Caenorhabditis elegans: one gene and its partners. The protein of the gene in region 1 purifies or fractionates together with the protein of each later gene. This does not show direct contact. Each region holds a gene or a part of one and is shown on either strand. Other genes may lie near its edges.

Evidence for each region.
Region 2: the proteins of Y48E1B.3 (region 1) and Y39A1A.2 fractionate together in Caenorhabditis elegans (co-fractionation; one large-scale study listed by BioGRID). This does not show direct contact.
Region 3: the proteins of Y48E1B.3 (region 1) and K02E10.6 fractionate together in Caenorhabditis elegans (co-fractionation; one large-scale study listed by BioGRID). This does not show direct contact.

The regions. Positions count from the first base shown.
Region 1 is NC_003280.10:13,564,500-13,570,165, reverse strand, and holds the start of Y48E1B.3 (Geranylgeranyl transferase type I subunit beta), read left to right. Parts: upstream 1-2,194; 5' UTR 2,195-2,199; coding exon of another isoform or gene 2,200-2,248; intron 2,249-2,302; coding exon of another isoform or gene 2,303-2,414; intron 2,415-5,378; coding exon of another isoform or gene 5,379-5,500; 5' UTR 5,501-5,626; coding exon 5,627-5,666. Other genes in the region: mrpl-37 (Large ribosomal subunit protein mL37), read left to right, coding at 696-819, 1,825-1,949.
Region 2 is NC_003281.10:10,601,193-10,605,750, forward strand, and holds Y39A1A.2 (Reverse transcriptase domain-containing protein), read right to left. Parts: upstream 2,375-4,558; 5' UTR 2,358-2,374; coding exon 2,307-2,357; intron 2,232-2,306; exon of another isoform or gene 2,228-2,231; coding exon 2,117-2,227; intron 1,994-2,116; coding exon 1,878-1,993; intron 1,743-1,877; coding exon 1,514-1,742; intron 856-1,513; coding exon 748-855; coding exon of another isoform or gene 719-747; 3' UTR 702-718; downstream 1-701. Other genes in the region: rabx-5 (Rab5 GDP/GTP exchange factor), read left to right, coding at 4,178-4,240, 4,420-4,535.
Region 3 is NC_003284.9:2,480,054-2,485,071, forward strand, and holds K02E10.6 (CX domain-containing protein), read right to left. Parts: upstream 2,718-5,018; 5' UTR 2,676-2,717; coding exon 2,560-2,675; intron 2,388-2,559; coding exon 2,207-2,387; intron 2,161-2,206; coding exon 2,045-2,160; intron 909-2,044; coding exon 716-908; 3' UTR 702-715; downstream 1-701. Other genes in the region: K02E10.4 (uncharacterized protein), read left to right, coding at 3,210-3,477, 3,533-3,610, 3,656-3,843, 4,634-4,864, 4,914-5,018.

The DNA.
Region 1 (5,666 bases):
AGCTGAAAAAGGTGTTTTTTTTGTTGAGAAAATTTCAGAAAAATCGAAAAAAATTAAAAATTGAAAGCGAAAATGTTTCGAATTTTCTCCTGAATTTTTTCGAAACTAAAAACAGATAAAAACCCGGAAAACTCTGAAATTTTTTAATTTTCACGATGTTTCCGAGTTTTTCATCAAAAAATCGAAATAAAACCAGAAAAAACAAGAAAATTTCTAATTTTCAGCGTTTTTCCGTAAATTTTCCGAAAAAAAAAACCGGAAAACACAAAAATTTTAGATTTTTCGGTGTGTTTTCCGAAAAAAAAAACAGAATTGCTCATCAATTTTTCCGTTGTTTTTTCCCTACAAAATTCGGGGAAAAAAAACGAAAATTTTGAAAATTTCAGTTTTTTACGAAAAAAAAAATCCGGAAAAAAATACGGATTTTTTTTGTTTGTTTTGCTGTAAAAAAATAGAATAAAAGACTCAGAAACCCCGGAAATTTCAGATTTTCCGGTGTTTTTCAATTTTTCAATTTTTACGAAAAAAAAAATTGAAAAAAAAAACACGAAAATTTCAGATTTATTAAAAAATGTTTTTATTAAAATTAAATTTTATTTTAATTTAATAAAAACCCACACATTTCTGACAAAACTTGAATTTTAAAATTTCTCAAAAAATTACTGGGTTTTTCCCAAAAATTTCCTAATTTTTAGCTTGTCCGTGGAGTACAATTGGTGAACGGACGTCTTGATTTGGTTGCCATGCAGCTTAACACACTGAAACCAACATCAGAAGCTGGAAATAATGACGAAAAGAATATTGTGTGGATCGAGAAGGGTTGGTTTTTACAAAAAAAAACAAAAAGGGAAAAAATCCCATAAAATCCAATTTTTTGTTATTACACATCCGTGGAAATTTTCTCCCAAAAAATTCCACGAATGTGTAATAACTAAAATTTTTTTCAATTTTTAAAGTTTAAATTTAAAATTGAAAAAAAAAGCTCTGAATTTCTTCATATTTTTCTCCGGATCAGAAAAATGACCAAAAAATGTTCCAAAAAATTCAATTTTTACCCTGAATTTCCTCTAAAAAACCCCGATATTTTCCCCTAAAATTCCCCTAAAAAATTAATTTTTCTCCCCAAAATTCCCTCTAAAAACCCCAATTTTTACCCTAAAATTCCCCCAAAAAATCCAATTTTTTCCTTAAAAATCCCTCTAAAAATCCAGTTTTTCCCTTAAAATATTCCTTTTAAAAAACCCAATTTTTTACCTTAAAATTCCCCCAAAAAACCCTAATTTTTACCCTAAAATTCCCCTAAAAAACCCATTTTTTTCCCCAAAATTCCCTCTAAAAACCCCAATTTTTACCCTAAAATTCCCATAAAAAATCCAATTTTTCGCTCAATTTCCCCTGAAAATACCCATTTTTCACATAAAATTCCCTCAAAATTCCCCCCTGTAAACCCCCAAATTTTTACCTTAAAATTCCCCTAAAAATCTCCAAAAAACTCAATTTTTACCCTAAAATTCCCCTAAAAAACACCAATTTTTCCCCTAAAATTCCCTATAAAAAATACAATTTTTACTTTAAAATTCCCCTGAAAATACCCATTTTTCACATAAAATTCCCCCAAAAAACACCAATTTTTTACCTAAAATTCCCTATAAAAAACCCAATTTTTACCCTGAATTTCCTCTAAAAAACCCCGATATTTTCCCCTAAAATTCCCCTAAAAATCCATTTTTCTCCCCAAAATTCCCTCTAAAAACCCCAATTTTTACCCTAAAATTCCCCTAAAAACCCCAATTTTTTCCCAAAAACACCAATTTTCTCTTGCAGGTCTCCGTCTCTACAAGCCAACGCCCTACTATGAGCAAATGGACACTGTGGAGAAGCTCGATATGACCGTTTTTCACAAATTTGTCGCCTTGATGCTCGGATTTGGAGCACCACATGCTCATTGACACGGGCTCTAAATCCTTTTTTTTTCAAAGAAATTTTGATTTTTTTTTCAATTTTTTAATAGGTAGCTACTGTTTTTCATTGTTTTTTTGGTTGTTTTTTTCTCGGATTTTTTTTTGAAATTGTATTGATTTTTTAATGATTTTTTGTGATTTTTTCCTCGAAATTATTGGTTTTTAGCCAATTTTCTACCTAATTTTCCAGTTTTTCCCAGCTTTTCCCCCCGAAAAATGCCCAAAATTTTCAGCCTAAATGTGCGATATCAGCACGGAAGATCAATTGCTAGAATTTGCACGAAAAGGTTTTTTTTTGGATTTTTAAGCTTTTGGCCCCCGTTGAATTTCCGTATTTTCAGCCGCCGAATCAGGAGATCAGACACAGACTTTTGAATTTAAGAAGCACATTGGTTTTTTGATTCGACACTTGAACGTATTCCCACAGCCGTATAATACGTTGGAGACTAGTCGGTGAGGAGATTAGAAAAAAATTGAAGAAAATTGATAAAATTCCAGTTAAAATTCCAGAAATTTGAAAAAATTGCGAAATTTTTATGGAAAAATTCAAAAATTAGAAAATATTGATTTTTCATTTTTTTTTTAAATTAAAAATCCAATTTTAAGCTATTTTTTGGCTGAAAATTTGTGAAATTGTTTTTAAAAAATTCAATTTTATTGAGAAAAAAACCGTATAAAGTCAATTTTTACATATAAAAATCGATTGGAATATGGAAAATTAAAAAAAAACGTGTAATAACAAAAAAACTATTTCGGAAAATTCACAAAATCTATAAAAAATTTGCGAAATTTTGATGGAAAAATTCAAAAATTAGAAAATATTGATTTTTCAGTTTTTTTAAAATTAAAAATCCAATTTTTTTCGATTTTTTCTTGTTAAAAAGTTTAAGAAAACAGCTTTTAAAAAATCGATTGGAATATAGAAAATTTAGAAAAAAAGCTATTTCGGAAAATTCACAAAATCTATAAAAAAGTTCAAAAAATCAGAAAATATTGATTTTTGAACTTTTGAATTTTTTAAGACTAAAAATCCAATTTTTACGCGCTATAGAATTGTTGAAACCTACTAAAAAATTAACCTAAAATTCGAAAAATACTTCTAAAAATTGGATTCTCCGGATTTTTCACAAAATTAATTTAAAATTACAATTTTTTCAAAGCTAAAAACTGGCAATTTTTCGCCCAATTTTTAAAAAGTTTGAATTAAAATTTAAAAAAAAATTCCCCGCAGATGGAAAAATTCAAAAAATTAGAAAATATTAATTTTTTAATTCTTTTTTAAGTTAAAATTTCAATTTTTAAGATATATTTTGGCTGGAAATTTGTGAAATTGTGGCAAAAAATTCAATTTTCTTGAGAAAAAAAACCGATTGAAATTTAAACACACATTAGAAAAAAAAATGATTTCTGAAATTTCGGAAATTCAAAACATTTGGAATTATTGATTTTTCAGTTCTTTATAGTTAAAAGTCGAATTTTTAAGCAAAAAATTGTAAAAACCTTCAAATTTTTGGCTAATTTTTCAACTTTTAATATCAAAAAATATTAATCTCGTTAACGAAAAATCATTTTTTACGTATAAAAAACTGTTTGGAATTTGAAAAATTGCGGAAAAATAATTATTTCTGAAATTTGAATTTTTTTTGTTGAAAAAATTGTCTGCTATTGTTAAAAAATTAGAAAATCTACTAATTTTTCAATTTTTTAGAGTTGAAAATTAAATTTTTCAAAAAATTTCAAAAATTGGGAAAATTTGCTAATAAAATAGTAAAATTAGCGCTCTGAAAATTCCAAAAAAAAAAAATTAATTTAAAATTACAATTTTCGTAGAAATTCAAAGTTTATTCCAAAAAAAAAACACAATAGTTCAGAATTGTACGTTTTTTTTTTAATTTTGACTGAATAAAATCCTAAAAAAAATTATTTTCTCCAACTTTTCTAATCTAAAATTATCAAATTTTCAGGAAATCACTATTTTAATTGAAAAATTCCATTTTTTTTTCTAAAATTATCTTTAAAAAATTGGAAAAAAAAATTTTTCACCAATTTCCTCTGATTTTAATTTAAAAAATTTCAAAAAATTCTATGAAAATGACCCTAAACTACTCTGAAAAATTCGAAAATGTTTTTTTTTTTTTCATATTTTTCACAAAATTAATTTAAAATTACAAATTTCAAGCTAAAAATGCTCGATTGACTCCCAGTTTTCTCAAAAAAGTTTCACAAAAACTCCGATATTTTCCCCTAAAATTCCCCCAAAAAACACCAATTTTTCCCCTAAATTAAAAAAAATTGCGAAATTTTGATGGAAAAATTCAAAAATTAGAAAATATTGATTTTTCAGTTTTTTTAAATTAAACATCCAATTTTAAGCTATATATATTTTTTAAATTCAATTTTATTGAGAAAAAAACCGTATAAAGTCAATTTTTACATATAAAAATCGATTGGAATATGGAAAATTTAGAAAAAAAAAATTTAATTAGGAAAATTTGAAAAAAAATGCGAAATTTTGATGGAAAAATGGAAAAAAATTAGAAAATATTGATTTTCCAATTTTTTAAAATTAAAAATCCAATTTTTTTCGATTTTTTCTTGTTAAAAAGTTTAAAGAGAACAGCTTTTAAAAAATTAAAATTCAAAAAATTGAGAAAAAGTTTTTTTTTTTCAAATAAAATTGTGAAATTAGTTCTAAAAATTTAGAAAAATGTCGAAAGATACCTCTAAAAATTCAATTCTCTGGGATTTAAAAAAAAAAAATTGGAAATTCCCATCTTTTTTTTTAACTCCCAGAAAAAACTAGAAAATTGTCAAAATTTTGAAAATAACCGTTCAAAATTGGCAGAAAATGGCTTGAAAAATTGCAAAAACCTTATTACACATTCGTGGAAATTTTTCCACGAATGTGTAATAACACAATTCTGATGGTTTTTTTTTGTTGAAAAATTGCTTAAAAATTATTACACATTCGTGGAAATTTTTATTAGGGAGAATTTTTTCACGAATGTGTAATAACACAGTTCTGAAGGCTTTTTCTCCAGAAATAGTTTGAAAAATCGAAAAAAAAAACAATTTTCAAAAAATGCGATTTTTTTTTCTTCAATTTTTCAAACTATTTTAAAAAATTAGTTGAAAAAACTAGAAAAGTTGAAATTTTGAGATTTTTGAGCTAAAAATGCTCAATTTTCTCCCAAAATGTCTCAAAATTAAACTGAAATTCCCGGATTTTTCACAAAATTAATTTAAAATTACAATTTTCAAGCTAAAAATGGGCAATTTTCTTCCGAGAAAATTCTAGAAAAATGCCAAAAAACAGCTTTAAACAATTGAAATTTTGAGATTTTTCAAGCTAAAAATGCTCAATTTTCTCCCAAAATTTCTCAAAAATTTCACAAAAAAAATTCAAATTTTTTCCAGAAACACAATCTTCCTATTCGCAATCTCTTCACTGGATTTGCTCGGCGAGCTCGACAATCTCCTGACTCCGGAACGCCGTCAGGCGTATATCGATTGGATTTACGGACTTCAGTTTACAAACGGTACCCCACCCACGCAAAATTTCTAGGAGTTGAACGCATTTTTCTTGTTAAAAATCTTTTTTTCCCCTTTTTCCCGATTTTTTTCCCATTTTTTTTTCACAAATTTCCATAATTTCCCGTTCAAAAATGTCTTCCCACCACCACGCCGCCCCCGCACTCTATTGTG
Region 2 (4,558 bases), on another chromosome or scaffold:
CTGAAAATCTGCAAGGAATAAAAAACTGAGATAATAGCGAAAAGTTAAGAAAAACGGGGTTTTTTTTCGTGAAATTTCAGTAGTAAAAGCTTAAAAGTCTCATTTTGAGACGGATTCAAATCTAAAGCTACTATTTTATAATTAAAAAAACCAAGAAAATCCAAAAATATTTCGTTAAAACCAGGATTTTTATAAAATTTCTCTAAAACTACGAAAAAATCGGGATTTTCTTCTAAATTCTAGGATTTTCTTCTAAATTCTAGGATTATTTGAGTCATTGACAATTTTCTTGTCTATTTCTGAATTCCTGCGTCAGAAGTAGACTTAAAATATATAAAACTTTTTTTTCTGAATTTTTTTCAAATTGTGAACCATTTTTTGATGTTTTTGCCGAAAAACCTTTTAAAAAAGCCTGAAAAATCGGGAAATTTCGCAATTTTTTCCTTTTTTGATGGACTAAATCTCAAAAATCAAGGAAAACTTGGTTTTCCATTTTTTTTTTCCTGAAAAGCTGGAAAAAACTCAAATTCCAGTTATTCTCCACTTTTGTGCAATTTTGAAGCAGATCTCCAGTGAAATTGAGTCAAAACTGTTAGGAAAATTAGAAATAACTCGGAAATTAAAAAAAAAAAGATTTTTCCCCCTGAATTGTCGATTTTCTCCAGAAATTAATCCAGAAATTTCAAAAACTGAAGAAAAAAAATTAAAAAAATTTTTTTTATTCAAAAGCCTCTTGAGTTACAAATTTTATGGTGAATTGAGGCACATTTTGGACGCGATTTGGCATTGTTGGTGACCATCGATAGGGTATCCCAACTTCTCCAGAATACGAGTTGATAGGCGTTCGGATATTGCCTGAAAATTCTTGGGTAAAGTTCGCAGGCACATAGGTAGGTAGGCTATATCATGCCTATCTACCTATGTTCCTGTGAACCAATTTTGACTTGAAATTATCGGAATTCTGAAAATTTTGATTCTATGAAATTTCAAGAAATTCAGAATTTTCAGTGTGTAAAAATGTATCGTTAAAAATGATTTTAATATGGCTTATACATATTTTGGCGGTTCTTCGAATCCATTTTAGACGTTCGAAAAATATTGAATTTCAGAGGTTTTACACATCATTTTGTGAGCCAAATTTAAAGAAATTTCTTGACTTTAAAAACAAGAAAATCGGGCCACAAAATGATGTGTAAAACCTCTGAAATTCAATATTTTTCGAACGTCTAAAATGGATTCGAAGAACCGCCAAAATATGTATAAGCCATATTAAAATCATTTTTATCGATACATTTTCCCACACTGAAAATTCTGAATTTCTTGAAATTAAAATGACCTCCCCTGATTCTGAAGATATATGGCGCCTCAAAACACTTTGTAACGCTCGCCTGTTTATTATTTTAATTAAGTTAAAATAATAAATAGATGAGTTAGATAGTGTTTTGCGGCGCCCTATATCTTCCGGGTTCCGAGAAATTTTCCGAGATGCTCTGGCAATAGGCCGTAGGCATACTTTAAAATGAACTTTATGAATATCCTTCGGCTTATGAACAGGATCAGAGATCCCCGACGGAAACTCGATTGAGACACTGGTCACCGCTTTTCTCGTTGGATCATTCTTAGGCTTCTTGAAATTCTTCAAGCATTCTTTGAACGCCGATTCAACTTCTTTTCCGGCTTCCGCAAAACCATTCACATTTTTCGAGTTTTTGATGCACGCGTATTTTCTTGCATCTTGTTCTCTGGGAAATATTGAATTGTAAAATAATTGGGTTACTGTCGTTTTCGAAGTCTTGCGACGAAGCCTAACGCTTTTCGCTTTTCAAAATTGATTCCCCGTGGCCGAGTTTTCTCTTCCGCGGCCATCTTTGACTAACTTTTGAATCGCACGAAACATCTCAATATCCACTGGAATCGGGATTTCCATGAGCTCCTTCTTGAATACGGTTTTAATTGTCGATTTGTGAGGAGGGGGAGGCGGTTGTTGGCCACACTGAAAATTGTCTACTGTATTCTAAGTGCATGCGCCTTTAAATTAATATCATTTTCCACTCAGGATTCACTCCCAGGTTATCAATAGAGCGCGTTGTCCTAATAAAAACCCCAAAAAACTTACGAGAATTGCGTCATTTTGAGGGTATTTTGGTGACGTCACTGAATCGTAGGAAACGGTTCCAGAAGACGCACTGATACAAGTCACAGGATCCGCATGAAAATCGATAACGTGCTGAAAGAAAATCGATTAAATACTAGTTTTTTGGTTGGAAAATTGCGGAAAAATCAATAAATTAAAAAAAAATTCTTACAATAAATCGTTGTGCAAGTTTGATAGGAACAATCGATCCTTCGCTGCTCATTTTGAAAATATTGAAATAATTCAATTTTACGGTTTTTCACTTAAAAACACCACGTCAAAAGTTTTGAATTTTTTTAATCGATAAATCCCCACGTAATTATTTTTAGGAATTTTTACGGGTATTAAAAAATTCTGAGAATGCGTATTACACAGAACATCTGACTCGCAAAATATCTCGAAGCGAAAACTACGGTAGTTCTTTAAATGACTACAGTAGCACTTGTGTCGATTTACGGGCTCGATTTTTGTAATGAATTTATTTATCGATAGAACATTTATTTAAAAAGCAAAAAAATGAGACTATTATCCGATGAAATATTTGAAAACAAATTCATATCGAAAAATTAGTTTTTTTCGATTTTTTGATATGAATTTCTTTTCGAATATTTCTTCGGATAATAGTCTCATTTTTTTGCTTTTTAAAAAAATGTTCTATCGATAAATAAATTCATTACAAAAATCTAGCCCGTAAATCGACACAAGTGCTACTGTAGTCATTTAAAGAACTACCGTAGTTTTCGCTTCGAGATATTTTGCGCGGCAGATGTTCTGTGTAATACGCATTCTCAGAATTTTGTGTTACCGTAATAAATCAATTTTGTAATCCGAGAAAAAATCTCTAAAATAAGATTTAAAAAATGCGCAGAACAATTTAAACAAAAAATAGTTTTTTGCTAAAAAATGTAACTTTTTTTTGCAAATTTGAAAGAAAAATCCTGTAAAATTTGGTGGAAACTCCGAAATAAGTTGAATTTGATGGGCAAACACAAAAACAAAAAATTTCTTCGAAAACTAGCTTTTTTTCTTCAAAATTTTGATTGATCCACATGGAAATCCCCATTTTCCAGGAAATTTTCATTGTATTCGTTCTAACAATTCCCCCAGATTGTGTATGTATTCAAAAGTTCATGGCTGGTGGCACGCTCTGAAAACCAATTTCCGAAAAAATCGGATTTCCGAGTATGTCCTCTCGATCTTTTCAGAACGAGCAGCTGTTTCCAGCTTTCAAAGCACGATGGAGGCGGAGCTTCCATGAAGACTGAGTAATCGAGGATGAGAGTGTGAAGACGCAGAGAAGCGAACTTGTGACCGCGTAGAGCCCTCCTCCATCTTCGGCTTGAGTTTCCCTGCCAGACGGGGACAACTTTAGCACCAATAGAACCCTCCTGGGTCCATTTTTCTTGGTTTTTGGTCGATTTTTAATTAAAAATTGACAGAAATTCTAGATTTTATGTTTAAATTTATTTTTTTTTACTTCCAAAAACTTGATTTGATTAAAAATTGAATTTTCACTGAAAATTGGACTGAAAAGTTGGATAATTTAAAATAAATTGGCTCAAAAACCTCTTTAATTTATTTTTTTTGCCGAAGATGTAATGTTTTATTAGTCTAGAATTTATTATTATCATTTTCCTTCAATTCAAATTTAGATTAGAAATTCAGCTTCAGAAATTTCAGATAATTTATAAATTTTAAGGAAAAAATGTTTTTTTTAATTTACTTTTAAAATAAATACAATTGAAAAAAATTGGAAAATCAAAAAAATCCAATTTTTCAACTAATTTTAATTTTTTTTTAATCTGAAACATCAGATTTTTTAAAAAATAATTAATAAGCTTTCGCAAAATCTCTAAAGTCAGTTTTTTTCGAAATTTTCAATTTTTGTGTGATTTTTCGAAAAATAATTGTGTTAAAATTATTTTTTCTTTAATTTGAACTGTAGTTTTATATTTTCTTCGACCCTTAATTCTCATTTTTAAAATTGTTTTTTTCTTCATGAAAAAATTAAAAATTTTTCAGTTTCAAACACCCCACAAAGTAATGTCAGATAAGCATGGCGAGGAGGACAAGAAAGCAAAAATGCATTTAAAAGCTAATGATTTAGTGAGTTTTTTCCTATTTTTAAAATTTCCAATATTAATTTTTCCTGAAAAAATAAAAAAAATAAATGAAAATTTAAAAAATCAAGATTTTTTGAAATTACAGTAACCCAATTTTTAAAGGCGGAATATCGGAGCATCGTTTATATTCATTTTTGAATAAAAATCAATTTCTTTTTGCAGTTATGTGTCAATGGATGCGGATTCTACGGGACCCCACAGTGGGAGAATCGTTGCTCAAAATGTTGGAGAGCTCATCAGAATGAGATGAAAAAATGTCAGGATTTTGCGAAGAATAGGTAAAAAATTGAAAAAAAATGCC
Region 3 (5,018 bases), on another chromosome or scaffold:
TTCTTGGATTGGGGTGTCACTTTGGCACGTCTTGGTTCCGAAAAGTCTAGAAATGTTTTTTTTTTCAAATCACCAAGTGATATGGAATACTTAGGTAGATGTGAATTTGTGATTTGACTGGTGTTTGATATTTGAGAAGTTTGATCAAAAAAAGTGTTGAGAATTGTAAAGCAAAAAACAATGAAAAAAAAAACAAAAATGCTCAAAAAATACACTAGTGTCCTAATTGTTTTGTTTGAGCTGACTAGTGAGTTGATGTGAGCTGCTGAGAATTCAGAAGTGTGGATGTGCGAGACGAAGGTTGGCCAAGTAATTATTCACGTTTTGAGCGTAGGACATTTCCAATGAATTTCGACATGTGTTCTAGGCATTAGAAAATTCTATAAACTTTGGCGGGAAAAGTCACATCTGTAATCTGGGAAAAACAGAGGTTCCGCAACCGAAAAAGTCACGTTTTGCATATTAGAGTTTGAAAGGTTAGAAAAATTTGTGTAGGCTCAGAAATTCAGCAAGATTTGTCGTGTTTTTTTTTCGCTGCTCAAAAAAATAATACTACATTGTGCAGAAAAATAGACCAAAAGTATGCATCAAGCTTTTCCGTCGATTGTTTTGATGATTGCCTCTTGAAAGAATGGAAAGCTGCCGCATTTTCAAGGAAGCATTCTTATTTATGTGCCGGTGGTTATCTGTCATTCAGGCATAATTTCATACAAATTTATGCAGAGTTGAAAATTGAGATTAGGAGTATGGCAATTAGAGTGAGAGAAGATGATGATGATGATGCAGAGTTATGACGCCATGGATCTTGCCAAGGGTACTTTGGGGGTTTCGGTGGCTCGTCATGACGCCCGATTTGATCAATTTTGCAGCAATTCAGGCCACAGCAGTACTCTTGATATCGTTGGCACCTGAAATTGTATAATTGAAAAATCACAAGCTTCCAGAACACATTGTTTTCTAAGTTTCAAATTTTCTACAATTTTTCGAAATTTTTAACTGAAAGCAATGCCACACTCTAAAACTGAACAGCAATTCTTTTTTTTGAACGTATAGACCCAACAAAAGCTTACAAAAACGAACTTCGTAACGAAACTTTGCAAAAATTTTCCAAATTATTTGTTTTTATTGCGGTTCAATTACGGTACATTTGAAACTATATGTAGGTATTCAAAACTGACAAAAATTAGTCACATATTGACTTTAAATGTACCTCAATTAACAAAATAGCGTTAGATAAACGACCAAAATATGCAAAAACTGATGATAATTCAAATTAGTCATTTTCGGACTGCTGCGACGCGGAAAAGTCCGCTAAAATTGAGCGATTTTTTTTTCTGAAATTTTGCACTGCCATTGAAATTTTTTAAAAACAAACTTTGAATTGTTTCATTACGAAATTTGTTTACTTGAGCACATTTCAGGTCTATACATTCAAAATCGTAAAGATCGTGGCGAGACCCACTGATAAAAACAACGTGTGCCTTTAAACTGATGTGCAATTTTTTTTTGAATTCACGTTAGCTTCAGCGATCCAAATTATTATTAATTAATAATAATTTTATTCGTGAAGGTTGTAATATTTTAAAATGTTAATTACACATGTTTTGCATGTTTTACATTATAGTGTGGAAATTGCTTTAAAACAGGCCTAGGGCACCACATTGGCCAAATAGCGTAGTAAAAAAAATTCAAAAAAATTTTCTAAATTTTATACGATTTTTGATAATTGGAACAATCACAGTTTGTGCTACTTTTATGGATGTCATCGATCAAAAAAATATTTGAAGGGTCTCGAACACACCACAGGGATTTATGATAACTGTTTTTTTCTTATAAGTGTCAAATTGTTTATGAGATTGAGTATTTGGGTAACCCTGATTATATTGGAAAAGTGTTAAACTTTCCAGCACTTTTTGTGATTGCTTGTGATTGAGTTGAACAACGAGATGCCACTAAAAACTTGGCAAACGTCTTTTCTTATCATCGTTAGGATAATATTATGTCGAAAATTCCTTTTCTCTCTGAATACGCAATGAAAACATACTGATAAATGATATCGAATATCGGCATGTTGTCCTCTTCGTAGAAAAGATGTTGTCGTTCGGTCTCATTCATACGGTATGCGCACGTATCCCGCGTGGCAAGGTAATAATAATTGTCCTGTAATTTTAGTATATCGATGAGAGTTTCAAGGACAATAACAAACCATATAATAATAACGATCGCCTAACCAATAATTTCGGCGAGTCAAATAGATGAACGAACGGTCATTGTACATTTTGATTTTGAAGATGTTGAAGCCGTCGAGAATGGTGAGCATGAAGATTCGGTAGACTTCATCGTTTATTGCAGGATCGCCATCAGTGGCGTAACCTGCATTCAAGCTCCTGAAAGTTGTAAAGTGTTTTTTTAAAATGGAATCAAAAAAGATAACTTGAAATGATAAAAATATTTTATTAGTAACTCAAATAGATTTTCCAAGCTCTAAGAATGTTATTTTAAACATCTATAGAGATCAGTTTTTCACCTCTATCAATCCAAAAAATGTTAGTATTTTACCTGGTTCGCTGTGAAAAATAACTGACAGGACGCGGTTCTTCTTTCCTGTTGGGCAACCAATTTTCTTCCGGACAAACTTGCACTGTTAAAAGCACGCACAAAGTAAGAATCAGCATTGAGAAGCATACATCAGTATAGTTGTCCACACCGCTTGAGCAAACAACAATAGATCGATATGCGGTTCTGTCGCCCCCGACGCAATGTGTGTACCTGCCATGCATGCGACCTCAGGTGACTCACGAAATTAGAGAAACATAGAAAGCTAACAAGGTATATAGTTTGTTGCGTCCGGAAATTATGGTTAGGGTATGAGAAATATGACTCATACTCTCACTTGGATTCTGATTTATTTCGCCCTACTAAAATTGCGAGGAATTCAAATTTGAAAAATGACGTCATGCGGAAGTTGCGGTTGTTGTAGATCAAACGTGTATACTCTGGAAATTTCACATTGGATCCTTTTAAGTGTCAGATCAGAATATTTTCGGTCCACCATATGATCACTGCATCGTTTTTCATAGCTTCCATTTTTCAATCCGAGACATTTTGCCGAATTAGTGAATGGAACATTCTTCAGATTGGAAACATCTTCAAAAAAACTTTCGATTATGATACGATAACGATAGGCGGAAAAGTGAAGAGAATGAGAGATGCAGATATGTGATAATTTCTACTTATCTTCTCTTGTGATTCCTCCCGAAAAAGGAGATGCATCCGTAAAAGAGGTTAATCGACTACACGTCCTTAACCCATCCTTCTTATTTCTATCCATTTTCCCTCTTCATTTTCCCGACAGAGTACCGCTCCCTTCAACTACCCCATATTATCACTCAAACCCATCTACAACATTTTTCATGATTCCTACAACGACTTTCGTTTCTTGTTACTTTCTAATTTTGTTAGTCTATTTTGCATCAGGTTAGCAGTTTGTGATGTTTGAACACCATTTAATTAGCTTAGAGTTTGTTTTTAGCACAAGCTCCAACCTGCCCAAATGGCCAACTACCAAAGTTAGATTCATCGTTAAGACCTCTACAATGTTTGCCAGGTAGTTGTTATTTTCAGTTCACATCCAATATAACATACTTGTTTTCAGGCACTTCACAACACTTAATTTGTGGTGCTAATCATAACTGTTTCTTTACCGGATTGAATTATATGTGCTGCCCGTCAAATGAGCCATCCATAGATAATCAACCGAGTTGTCCATACCCAAAGCTAACAGTTTTGGATCCACATGGTTTGCCAATGAAATGTAGTCAGATAGCCAGAAGTTGCCCGGGGGTAAGTTAGAAACAAGACACATCATTATTAAATGTGTTTCAATTAGTTTATCCAATTTTTGATCTCTTATACATACAAGTTTCTAAAATAGTGAGACAAACTATATGAATATTAAAAAGCCGTGAACAGCGGAATACTTGATTTCCTTGGTTCGTGATAACTTTTCGAATGTTTTAATACTGGGTATAATTAAATTATGGACTTAAAACGTCTTTAAATGAGCGAACTTCGTAATGAAAGTTTTCAAAATATTTTAAACTAAAAAAAATGTTTTTATGGCGGTTCAAAGTTTCGAAGAAAGGTTTCAGGTTAGTCAGTTTTGGTCATTTATCAGGTTTAAATGTGATAACAAATAACAATTATAAATAAATCAGTAAAATTGACTTGGAGCCGCTGGCACACGAAAAAGTGGCTGAACTTTGAGATTGTAGAGGGAATTAGGTAATTTATGTAAATAAATTTTGTGCCGGCATAAAAAAGTTTTGACATTTTTCTGAGAAGTTTCACTACGAAATTTGTTTATTTAAATTGTTTTTTCTATGAAAAATCGTCTAAAAGCTGAAAATTAAAAAAAAAATTACCATATTTTCTGCAAAAAAAATTAAAGAAAAACACTATTTTCCATACAAAAATGGTGAGATTTACTTTTTAGACACGTTTTACAACAAAAATATTTTTTTCTCAATTTTGGAAGTTTTCCTGAAAGTTTTCCTGGGTCGCAAATTTACCCCACATCGACCTATTTATCAGTCCCCCCTCCCCCCCCCCCCACAAATTGACTGTGTTATAGGAGAACATGCACTGTGCCGATGTTGGACTTGGATATATCTGTTGCGAAGACCCGTCTTTCCAAAGAAAGCATGCACCACCACCAACAACAACGAAAAGCCCCAGAGGGTACCGTGTTAAAGCCACAACTCCGCTACCTGAAGAGGAACTCGAATGCCCAAAACAATCAATTGGGCTTTTGAGTAGTAACGGTTCTAGAGTCATTTGTAATTCTAGAAACCCTTGTCCAGGAGTAAGCTATTAGGAAATGTGTGCTTAATACACTTGAAAATAATTTTCAGACTGATACATTCTGTTTCGGAGAGTACAAAAGATCAATTTGCTGTCAGAAATATCTATACGCTTCTGACATTCTTGACGATCCGGCAACCACTACGACACAACAA